Oryctolagus cuniculus: one gene and its partners. The protein of the gene in region 2 interacts with the protein of the main gene of each other region in a pairwise test. Links are inferred from orthologs where the notes say so. Each region holds a gene or a part of one and is shown on either strand. Other genes may lie near its edges. The genes, in order: PRPF38A, SDCBP2 and C6H1orf35.

The links.
Region 1: the proteins of SDCBP2 (region 2) and PRPF38A interact in binary tests that used the Homo sapiens proteins (3 or more experiments, as listed by UniProt). The two-hybrid records come from large-scale screens. The link is inferred for Oryctolagus cuniculus from reciprocal best matches to the Homo sapiens genes SDCBP2 and PRPF38A.
Region 3: the proteins of SDCBP2 (region 2) and C6H1orf35 interact in binary tests that used the Homo sapiens proteins (3 or more experiments, as listed by UniProt). The two-hybrid records come from large-scale screens. The link is inferred for Oryctolagus cuniculus from reciprocal best matches to the Homo sapiens genes SDCBP2 and C1orf35.

Annotation. Positions count from the first base shown.
Region 1 is NC_091438.1:120,515,045-120,518,644, forward strand, and holds the start of PRPF38A (pre-mRNA-splicing factor 38A), read right to left. Parts: upstream 2,158-3,600; 5' UTR 1,927-2,157; coding exon 1,797-1,926; intron 1,104-1,796; coding exon 944-1,103; intron 1-943. UniProt on the Homo sapiens protein: Involved in pre-mRNA splicing as a component of the spliceosome.
Region 2 is NC_091442.1:27,245,421-27,249,159, forward strand, and holds the end of SDCBP2 (syntenin-2), read right to left. Parts: coding exon 3,715-3,739; intron 3,631-3,714; coding exon 3,459-3,630; intron 1,473-3,458; coding exon 1,381-1,472; intron 1,160-1,380; coding exon 1,105-1,159; 3' UTR 703-1,104; downstream 1-702.
Region 3 is NC_091437.1:246,984-250,799, reverse strand, and holds the start of C6H1orf35 (multiple myeloma tumor-associated protein 2), read left to right. Parts: upstream 1-1,305; 5' UTR 1,306-1,406; coding exon 1,407-1,651; intron 1,652-1,737; coding exon 1,738-1,783; intron 1,784-1,886; coding exon 1,887-1,969; intron 1,970-2,063; coding exon 2,064-2,136; intron 2,137-2,274; coding exon 2,275-2,360; intron 2,361-2,930; coding exon 2,931-3,062; intron 3,063-3,157; coding exon 3,158-3,275; 3' UTR 3,276-3,816.

The DNA of each region.
Region 1 (3,600 bases), on a different chromosome or scaffold from region 2:
AATAAGAAATGGTCAAAGTGCTAAAGCATATTATAAGTGCCTAACAAAAATCAGCTATTTTGTAGCTGCCAATGTTTTGAAAGATTCCTTCCTTTTCCCTTCCTCCTATATCCAACTACTTACTCAGCTCTCCACATAGATAACTACCAGGCTTTTGAAACCCAACAGCTTCTTTATATGAGAAGGAGACTAGTAAATATGAGTTCTGGAGTCAGTTTTGCCATTTACTAGCTGTTGACCATAGACAAATTATTTAATCTCTGCCTCAGTTTCCTACTTTGTAATAAAGGGATAATACTTTTACAGTGTTGCTAGGAAGACAAATGAATAATTATATGTAAAGCCCTTAGGATATAATACACAATATTCCATTATCATGTCTGTCTCTATACTGCTCTGTGAGCTTCTTGAGAATGGGATAAAATAGTTAAGAGCAGCTGATACTTTCCAGTTGTTTTCCATGCAACAGGCACTGTGCTGACAAATTTGCAAGCACCACCTTCAACTCTCACATAAATCCTCTGTGTAGGTATTTGTCTCCTTTTTACAGAAAAAGAAAGCAAAGATTTGAAAATTAAGTAACTTTTCCAAGGTTACAATTATTAAGAGTCTGGACATGAACCTAGATCTAACATCTCATAATTACTACCCTCTGTTGTTTTCTCCACTTGTGAGTGTCCAGTGCTTATCCTGTTAGGCCCTCACTTCTACATAATATATGTTCAGGGAATGGGAAATTCTATTAAAGGGGGAAAATGATCATGACTAAGAAAGTAAAGCAGATTATCACAATCAGAACAGAGAAAACACAAACTTAAGAAAAAAAACCTAGAGTGGAACTCTTTGTGGAAATGAGAAATGTTAAAATGTTGTGTAAAGAACTCTTAACAAAATCCCAATTTTGAACCACTGAACTTTTTGTATTAGTCAATATTGCACTCACTTGAAATCTTCATTTTTGATAAACTCTACAATGATATCCTTCTCAGGTTGAATTTGAAGCATCTTCAAGGTTAAACACAGAAAAGGAGTCGGTTTTATGTTGCCACCATAGACACCACCCACAAACCTTAACTCCATGGCTTTATCGACCACCAGTTCAGCTAAAAAACAAAAACAAATAGCAACACCTCAATCATATTAGGGGTAAGATTTTCCTGGTTGGAAGTGGCATTGGTTCAAGGTTCAGCGCTCCTCAGAAGTCACCAGTAGTGTAATAGAACAAGTGTGTTTTAATGGTAATACTAATGATGACAGTAATCCATACACACTGAAATATCACTATATGCCCGGATATCTAAGCATTTCACATTATCTCAATCTTCTCATGTCGTGAGGAAGTATCTGGCACTGTCCCCATTTCCACTTGAGGAAAATGGGGGGTAAAGAAGATTAAAAGACTAGCTTCAAAGTCCTCAGTACTGCAATTCAAATTAGGACTCGCACCCGGAAATAGTGAGCTGGCCCGCAGTTAAGGGCACTGAGATGAAGAATACTGTGTCGGACACTTGCGGCCCTTTGATAGCTCAAGAGGATACGTCAAGGAGCTACAGTAGGTTCCTGAGCCGAAGATTGCTCAGAACCCTGCACGCCACCGTTAAGCGGGGAATGACTCCAAGAACTCGAGAAACCCTTCAGAATACGGCGAGGCCCTATCAGATTCATCTGTGCCCCCCACGATCCACAAAAGACGAGGAAACAGCTGGCGCTCCTGTCTGAACGACTGACACGCTCTCCCCCAGCCCCCCGGCGCCCAGTCGGGACTAAGGAGCCACGCCTCGCGCGATCCCGCTCACCCGTAAGCCCAAAGCACTCCTCTTTCCAGTACTTGGACTCATAGATTCGCGTCCGAATGATCTTCTCCACCAGGTACTGAGGGTTGGTGCCGTGGATGCTATGCGCATCCTTCACAGTACGGTTCGCCATTTTAGAACGCCTTCAGCCCCACTTCCGTCGTGTTCTTTAATGCGTCACATCCAGAGTTAAAAAAAACCGCCGAGTCTCAGAGGGGGAGGAGGAGGAGGAAGCCTCTTCGGTTGCTTAGACGACCATCTTGAAAGCGGAAACACCACAGCCCGGAGAACGCCCGCGAGGCGCGTTGCGCCGCGGATCCACCATGGCCGCCGCACGTAGGCGGCAGTACGCCGTGCGTCCCCCGGGGTGGGCGGGGCGACCGGGCCAGTGGCGTAACGCGAGGGCGGTCTGGGGGCGGGGCTACGCCGTTTGGCGGGAATTTTTTTTTCTCCACATTCCTTCTATTCCTACCCGAGCGGTAGCTTTGGCTCTCGCGTGCGACCGGTGGCTGTGAAAGGAGGATCGCAGCTGTGGAAAGTTGCTGTGGAGAGTTGCTGCAGCCCCCGGAGCTCCCGAAGCAGGAGCGGAGGGAAGCGAACGGCTTGCGGTTCGAGCGAGAAGTGTTGGCGCCCGGTGAGTGTGCATCGCGCGGACTGGAAGGCGACCTGAGCCCCTAAAACCGCCGTTTTCCTCTGTAGACTCATTTATCCTTAATTCACCCGGCAGCAGACAGCCACTGTTCGCACTCCCGCTAGGAGAGTTCCTCTTTCACGTCGGATTCCTAGAAGGCTTCCTGCTCCGCTAAGGACGCACAGTTCGCCCTGGGGAACCAGAAGCCAACAGTAGAGAGGCGCGTGCGTGCCTGCCTTCAGCGCCCTTAATCTCTTCACTGAGGATTTTAGTCTTTCCTTCCATTTGCGTTGCCTTTGTCCAGGACTCACGTTGTTTCCGTCTTTGAGCTGTAGTGTGCGAAACACTGCAGAGCGGCGGAGCGGATGCTATCGCTCCATTTTACGGATAGAGTAGTTGGGGCCAGAGAGGGAGCTCGGGGTCGTTTGTGACCTAGCGGCCAGGGCTCATTATCCAGGTCGTCTTCTTGAAGATGAGCTGCTCTGAACTGCCGGGTTCCCCCGCATCTTCTTTCCAGGAGGGAAACTCAGTGATACTTCCAGTCCAACCCGCAGTAGGGGGACCTTCTGTCGTGACAGCTGGAAAAAGCACTGGACTGAGTGGGAAAAGATGGCGAGATTCTTATCCTGTGTGTTGTTTGTGAAACTACGATGATTAGGTCTGCTTTGAGCTGTCAATCAATATGATTAACGATATCCCCTTCCCTGGCATATTAGATGGGTTGTGAATGTCAACGGTTTCCGGTGTGAGATAATAAGTTACCGTGTCTCATTGGTTTTTTGTTTTTTTTAAGGTTTATTTCTGGGGCCGACTTTGGGGTGTAGAGGTTAAGCCTCCATCTGTGATGCAGACATCCCACATGGGTCCGCCAGTTGGAGACTCAGTTGCGCTCCACTTCCCATCCAGCTTTCTGCTAATGCGCCTGGGAAAGAAAGCAGTGGAGGATAGCCCAAGTTCTTGGGCCCTACACTCCTGTAAGAAATCAGGAAGAAGCTCTGGGCTCCCGGCTTTTGCCTGGCCCAGCCCCACTGTTGCAGCCATTTGGAAAATGAACCAGCAGATGGAAGATCTCTCTCGTGCTCTGTCTCTTCTCTCTCTGTAACTCTCCCTTCCAAATAAATAAAATATTAATCTTTTTTTTTAAAGATTTACTTATGTATTTATTTATAGAGTCAG
Region 2 (3,739 bases):
CTCCCACTGGGCCATCCCCTTGACAGTGAGTCCAGGGGATGTGGGAAGGGGGGAGGTGGGGAGGGGTCATCACTCTCGTCGTCGTCTTTGTCCTTTGTTCAGACAGAGTTGTACCTGCCTCAGACAGCTCTGAATTAAAGCATGAAAACATGGCGAGGCCCTCGGCTATTTCTTTACATCGCGGTGGTTTTCTAAGGAGGCGGGGCTGCGGGGCTGGTGTCTTCCCCAGCACAGGGAAAGCGAGGTGGCAGCCTCTGCCCTGATGCAGGGGGAAGCAGAGAGCCCCTAAGGCCCTGCAAGGCGCGGGGTGCCACTCCCATGGGAAGTCAGGCACAGGGTCTACAGCCCCCTCCCTCCACCCACCCTTGGCGTAAGATGCTGCCGGGCACCGTGAGGACAGCACACTGCCTTCCCCAGCGGCCTCTGAGGTGGGTTCTCATGCCCATTTCCAGATGCAGAAAGCAGCCAGGGCCACTCTGGGGGACCCCCAAAGCTAGTGCTTCCCCTCCCAGCCTTGCTGCCCCACAGTCCTCACAGTCCCCCCAGTTCCAGCCATCCCTGCGCCAAGCCAGCAGGCAGCAAGTGACGGACAGAACCAAATCACCGCTCTTGGGGGCAGCGACGCAGCCTGGGTCAGTTTCAAAGAAAACCAGCCCTGGCTTGTCATGAGACAATGCATTTCTGTGATCTTTGAGAAGAAGATCTTGTTTGAAATCAAATCTTTAATCAGAAGACAGTGAGGATTACGGCTGCGTGCAGACCGTGTGGAAGATCACATAAGGGCAAAGCAACGCTCTCACTGAGAGTTCTCAACACTGTTTTCCTGGTTCAGGCGGAATCTTGAAAAGTGTGCAGCTGGCTGCCTACATGCCCAGCATTTAAACCAGGACCAAGTGCCTCAGCCCAGCCAAGTGTCTCAGACTCCCAGGAGAGCTTTGTGCATAATGGAAGGATCCCTTCCCGAGCTCATGTCCACCCGCCTGGAACGCTGCCCACCCCTACGGTGGCCCCAACCCCAGGCAGAAGCCAGCTGCAATCTGTCTGTCAGCCCAGGGCAGCTGCCCCCACCTGCAGGACGGTGGGCAGGCCCGAGGCCTCGTGGCTTCAGACATCTGGGATGGAGTGGTCCATGGTGCGGTGGAGCAGGGTTGGGGACAACCTGGAGATAGCAAGAGTGACAGTGGGCAAGGCTGCCAGGTCCTCCCCTTGCCCACCCCGCAGAGCCTGTGCACCCACTGTGGGCCTTCACTCCCAGATCTGAGACCAAATCTCCAGCAGCCAACAGCCCCCCTTGGAGGAAGAGAAAGAGGAGGGGAGGGCAGGGCAGGCCCAGCTGGGCCGGGAGGTGCAAGGTGAACTGCAGGCAGGTGGCAGGCTTACCTTTTGACCATGTGCTCATAGATCACAGAGGGGATGATGGTCAGGGTGATGACATTCCCAGCTGTGCCCAAAATCTTTGTGATATCTTTGTCCTGAAAAGGAAACCAGTGAGCAGTCACTCTTGGGAACCAGGAGCCTGGGCAGCTCTGCAGGCCCCTGTGTGGATGCTAGAGGGTGGCACTGACACCTGATGCCAGGCTGCCTCCGACCCTGGCAGGTGAGGTCTTTCTTGAGCAAGACTGTGGGCTCCCACCTCAGGACCCGGGTCAAGTAGGTGGGCCGCTCCCCAGACTCTCCTGAAGGCACGGGGTGCACACATGCTGTGGCCCCAACACACAGCACAGCCACACAAACCTCATTCTCCTTCCCTTTCCATCCCATCTCTCTGGCACCAGGAACACTTGGGTTCTGGCCCAAAGCACAAGGGAGTAACCATCCAGTGGGAGACATCAGGTGCACCTGCCTGCCCTAGGACCCTGCTGTCTGGCCAGCCTGATCCAGCCTGGGGACCCCCTTCCTCTTATGTGTCATTGACAGAAGCCACTCAGATCATGGTGAGAGAACAAGAAATGAAAAGGCACAGCGGGGGAGGGGTTAGCCTAGTGGTTAAGACACCTGCATCCCACAGCCAAGTACCTGAGTTCAAGTCCTGCCTCCAGCTCCTGGCTCCAGCTTCCGGCTAATGCAGACCGTGGGAGGCAGCAGGTGATAGCTCAAGTACTTGGGTCCCTGCCACCCACATGGGAGACCTGGGCTGAGCTCCTAGCTCCTGGCTTCACCTGGCCCAGCCCCGTCACTGTATGCATTTGGGGAGTGAACCTGCAGATGGAAGCATTCTCTCCATCTCCTTCTTTCTCTCCTGTCCCTTTGCCTCTCAAATAAATATATAAATGATTTTTAAAAGATAATTAACAGTTACTGAGCAAGGAGTGCCAGACAGTCCAAACCCTGAGGCTAGGGCCTGGTAGAGCCTCTGGCCCCAACTCCAGCCGAGCGCCCTGCACTTCGCACCTGTGCCATCCAGATATGCTCACCTTAGTTGTTCCAGAACAAAGAAGAAGGTGTGCTAATAAGGACTGGTAATGGCCGCAGGGTGGAAATACCAAACTTTGCAAAGATAAACAATCCCGAGACGCAGAGCTGCAGTGGCCCAAGCAAAGGATGAATCCAGTCCCTAAAAGCAGGCCCTGTGGTGCAGTGGACAAGGTCATGACCACATCCTGGGCCACCAGTGAGAAGGACAGAGCCACAGCTCTGAATGGCTGCTCGGAGAAGAGCTGAGATCACAGAGCTGGAAGCTTTGAAAGGAGCAGGGGTCTCTGTGGTGGGAAAGCTCAAGCTGTTCAGAACCTGTAACCCTGAACAGACGTTTTAACTCTGGTGAGCTTCCTGGGCAGCACCCTGCCCGACCCTGGACGACGGGCCAGGGGGTGGCAGCAGGAGACACCCTGGGCAGGCGTGAGCCACCTGAACAAGTCTCCAAGGCAGTGAGGAGCCTGCCAAGCACACAGAGGCAGACTTGTGCCTGGGTGGCTCGGTGATGGCCCCGGTGGGGAGCAGACGACCAGATGAGAAGACTGAGCCATGCAGGCCCTTCTGCAGAGGGAGCTGTGGCTGCAGGGTGGGAAGGGGCACTCACAGAAATCACAGGCCAAATGAGGAGCCACTCTCGGCTCATGTGGTGCTGGGTTCACAGGTTCGCATGGCTCCTCCCTGCCCGTGGGCCCAGAAGACACTCGGCCTCCAGCCCTGGCCCTACACCCCCTCACCCCCTGCTCCTTCTCACTTTGTAGCGATGCAACACCCCACTCCTGAGATGAGCACCATTTTCTAAAAGACTCCTATGAACAGGGGTATGGAGGCCACCACCAAGGGCCACCAAAGGAAAGGGGTGGCCATGCAGCCCGCGGCCACCTGGGCACACTCATCCTCGCCTTCTTCCCGTGGCACGGCTGGCCGCCCAGGTCAGTACACAGCTGCTGTCTATTGAGTGCTTCCTATGCACTGGGCACCCTGTTTTGTCTCCTGCTCACGGCAGCCTGAGGGTGTGGAAGCAGCAGCCCTGCGGCGTCGCCTACCTTGAGTCCGATGACATTCTGCCCGTTGATCTCACACACGTAGTGGTTGGTGAGCAGCCCATTGCGGGCTGCGGAACTCCCTTTGATCAAGGAGGTGATCTTGCCCTTCTTGATGAAGAAGCCCACATGGCCTGCGCTGTCCTTGTGCATGGTCACAGTCCGCTGGAATGGCCTGGCGGGGGATACATGGTGAGCTGGGCCTGGCTGGGGACACAGCTTGGGTCACAATGAGCGGTCCTCGGGCCTGGCCACTCACCTGTCACGAACAACCATGACGATCT
Region 3 (3,816 bases), on a different chromosome or scaffold from region 2:
AGTCACAGGCTCAGAGTGACGACAGCGACCCAGGGCCAGCTCTGAGCAGCTTCTTGGTTGCTCTGGACTTTCTTGTTAGTAATGTTACAGCAGTTTAAGGCACACACTTAAACGAGTTTATGGGGCCAGCACTGTGGTTAAGCACAGGTTAAGCCTCTGCCTGTGACAGCAACATTCCATATGGCTATCGGTTCGAGTCCCAGCTGCTCCTCTTCAGTCCAACTCTGCTGCGGCCTACGAGAGCAGTGGAAGATGGCTCAAGTGCTCGGGCCCTTGCACCCACGTGGGAGACCCTGAAGAAACTCCTGGCTCCTGATCCGCGCAGCTCCAGCCGTTGTGGACATTTGGGGAGTGAACCAGTGGATGGAAGACCTCTTTGTGTCTCCCTCTGTCTGTAACGCTGCCTCTCAAATAAATAAATAAATAAATCTCTTAATTTTTTATGTGATAGAACGGGGCGGAGCGGAGGGCGACAGAGAGAGAAAGCAGGAGCCCTCCATCTGCTGGTTCACTCCCCCAAACACCCGCAGCAGCCGGGGCGGGGCGGCAGCCGCAAGCGGGTGCCCCGCGCCGCGGCCAGCAGCGAGCTGGCGGGAGCGCGGCGCCAGGCCGAGCAGTCGCCGGGCTGCTCACAGCCCGCTGGCCTGCCACCTGACCCTGTCTGGGGGCTAGGGGTCTGCGGGCCCCCAGACGCTGCTGGAACGCCTCGTGCAGAATGGCTGCGAGGCCGGCCTCCGCTTCAACTTAGCTGAGCCCCCTACGGGGAATCAGGCTGTCTCCGAGAGACCCCTGCTATTGGCATGCAGTATGTGGAACCCGGTCCAATGGGCACCCCCACAGAAAGACCCAACGAAGACAGCAAAGCCTTAAAACCGTGTGCACTTCCCGAAAGCCTTGCAAAACGGGAAGCAAACTTCCCACTTCTTTGCAAGCTGTTCCAGCTTATTTCCATACTAAGCTGAGGAAAAGAACCCACCAAACTCGCTCCGGTAACCGCTGTCCCCTCCCGCGACGCCCAGCGGCTGCGGGGAGAGCGCGGCCTGGGGGGCAGGGGCCCTCGCCGGAGCCGCACCCGGAACCTGGTCCTCCTGGGTCTGTATCGCAGCGATCGGCGGGGACTTCAGGCAGCGGCCCCGCGCCCACCCGGGCTCCACAGCCCCTCCAGCGCCCGCTCGGCGACGGGGCACTGCGCAGGCGCGGGGGCCCAGTCGGGCGGTGCCTGCGTCGGTGCTCGCTGCGAGGTGGGTGGTGGTGCGCAGGCGCGCGGGGCCGGGCCGGGGCGTGACGCGCTGGCAGGTGCGACGCCCCGGGGCCCGGCGCAGGCGTGACGTCGCGGCGCGGCTAGGCGCGGCGACAGGCCAGAAGCCGGCGACAGTCATCGGGGCCCGTGCGGCGGCACTGTAGCCATGTTCGGGTCCAGCCGCGGCGGGGTGCGCGGCGGGCAGGACCAGTTCAACTGGGAGGACGTGAAGACCGACAAGCAGCGGGAGAACTACCTGGGCAACTCGCTGATGGCGCCGGTGGGCCGCTGGCAGAAGGGCCGCGACCTCACCTGGTACGCCAAGGGCCGGGAGCCGCGCGCAGGACCCAGCCGCGAGGAGGAGCTGGCGGCCGTGCGGGAGGCGGAGCGCGAGGCGCTGCTGGCCGCGCTGTGAGTGTCCCCGGGGGCGGCGGAGGGCGCGGGCGGAGGGCGCGGGCGGTCGACGGCGCCCTGACGGTGCCCCGGCCCTCTCGCAGAGGCTACAAGAACGTGAAGAAGCAGCCCACCGGCCTGAGCAAAGAGGTAACCGCAGGCGGGGGCTGAGCTGGGGGCCGAAACGGGGGTCGCGGGGGCGGGGGCCGGGCGGCGCCGGGCCCTCTCTCCCGGCCCTGTGCGCACCCCGCAGGACTTCGTGGAGATCTGCAAGCGGGAAGCCGGCGACCCGGAGGAGAAGGGCGTGGATCGGCTGCTGGGGCTGGGCAGCGCCAGGTGCGGCAGTCCCGGGGAGGAGGAGCCGGGTGCCCAGCGGGGAGCAGGGTCCGGGCGGTGATCCAGGGGCGTCCTCACCTCCGTGTCCCCGCAGTGGCTCCGCGGGCCGAGTGGCGCTGTCCCGGGAGGACAAAGAGGCTGCCAAGCTGGGGCTGTCGGTGTTCACGGTAACCTCTTTGCCCCAGCCCGAACGCGCTGGGGTCCTCGGGGCGGCGGGGGGGGGGGATGGGGGACGCCCAGGGCGGGTCTCCCCGAGGCGTGGGGTCAACCTGCGCGCCCTCGCCAAAGCGCCGCTTCCCCCGCAGCACCACCGCGTGGAGAATGGCGGGCGGGGGACCTCGCCGGCCTCAGCCAGGAGGAAACCGCGCGCCGAGGACAAGGCGGAGCCTGAGTAAGGGGCATTCGTGAGCCGGAGTTCCAGGGGTGTGTGTGTGTAGTAGGGGCGGGGGTGCAGCTCGGGATTTCTTCCCACAGACGTGTGCTCAGAGACGGCACCCACGAAAGGGCCAGGATTGGTTGGCCTTGAGCCCCTCTTTGGGCTGCCCTCGGCGGGCGAGCAGGGCCGGTCTCCATCTCCAGGCTGAATGTGCCTGCCGAGAGGGGTTGGGGTCAGGACAGCTGCTGAGCTGGGGTGAGGCGCAGGCAATGGCGCCTGGCCCTGGCTAGCTTGGGGGGAGGCAGAGCTGAGTCACTGCTGGATCTGCTGGGGAGTTTTTCTGCCACAGTGAGGGTGCGGCTGCTGGCCACACGTGACCGCCCAGCACTTTGAGATGTGGTCTGTTTGGCTGAGGGGCTGACCAGGACCAAGCATGAAGAGGCCGCTACGTTGGTGGCTGCCGCCCTGGACAGCACAAGCGTGTCCATCTTCCTCCCCTGGCCGGGACAGAACTGGCCGCCTGTGCTTGCTGTCTCCTGTCTCCCGAGGGCTGGGGCTGAGGCCCTTTCTGCACCCCCCTTGCAGCTCTGAGAGCCACAGGAAAAGCAAGAAAGAGAAGAAGAGAAAGAAAAAGAAGAAACACAAGAAACAAAAGAAGAAAGACAAGGAGCACAGGAGAGGGGCCACTTCCTCTTCCTCGTCCCCATCCCCTGCTCGGTAGGGCAGCCCAGGGGGAGGGGGACTGGAGCTGGGCTAGATGGGCAGCTGCCGCACGCTGGGTCCTTTCTGAGTGACCATCCCTGTCTGCCCAGGCCTGAACCCCGCCAGCGTGACTGCAACTCCCCCTGCTGCAAGAAGAGGCGGTGTGACAGCAGGGACAGTGGGAGGAGCCCTTCCCGCCAGCGGCACGCCAGAGACTCTGATGCCTGAGACCCTGCCTTGGAGGCCTGTGCAGGTCCCGGGGGCACCCCCCTCAGGGTGCCCTTCCTGTCCAGGTCGAGGCAGAGGGACCCTAGCCTTGCCTGCTGGGCTTCAGGAGCAGGGGCCTGTTTTGTGAACTTCCTCCAGGTCCCAGTGAAGGGAGACTGCGAGCCCAGGGTGTCCCTGTGGCCCTGCCTCAGCCCCCGGCCCTCCCAGCACAGGGGAGCCTGTATTCCAGGACAGGTCTCTTCTCTGTCCTGTCTCCCTCTGCAGCCTCCCCAGGCCGGCCCTCCCGAGGCTGTAGCTATGGCTGAGTGTGGCTACTTCTATTTTTCTTTACATCAGTTTTGTACTTCAGTTTATATTAAAAGCAGAGTGTATCATCACAGAATGGAAGGTGGCCCCAGCACCTGTCCTTCCTGTCCAGGGCCCTGGTGACCGCTAACACCCTAAGGGAGCCCCTCGTGCTCCCACGTGGCCAGGGTAGAACCGTGGGAGGACCCCCCCAGAGGGACGACAGTGTCGGGGCAGCTTGGGAGTGGGGGGCCTG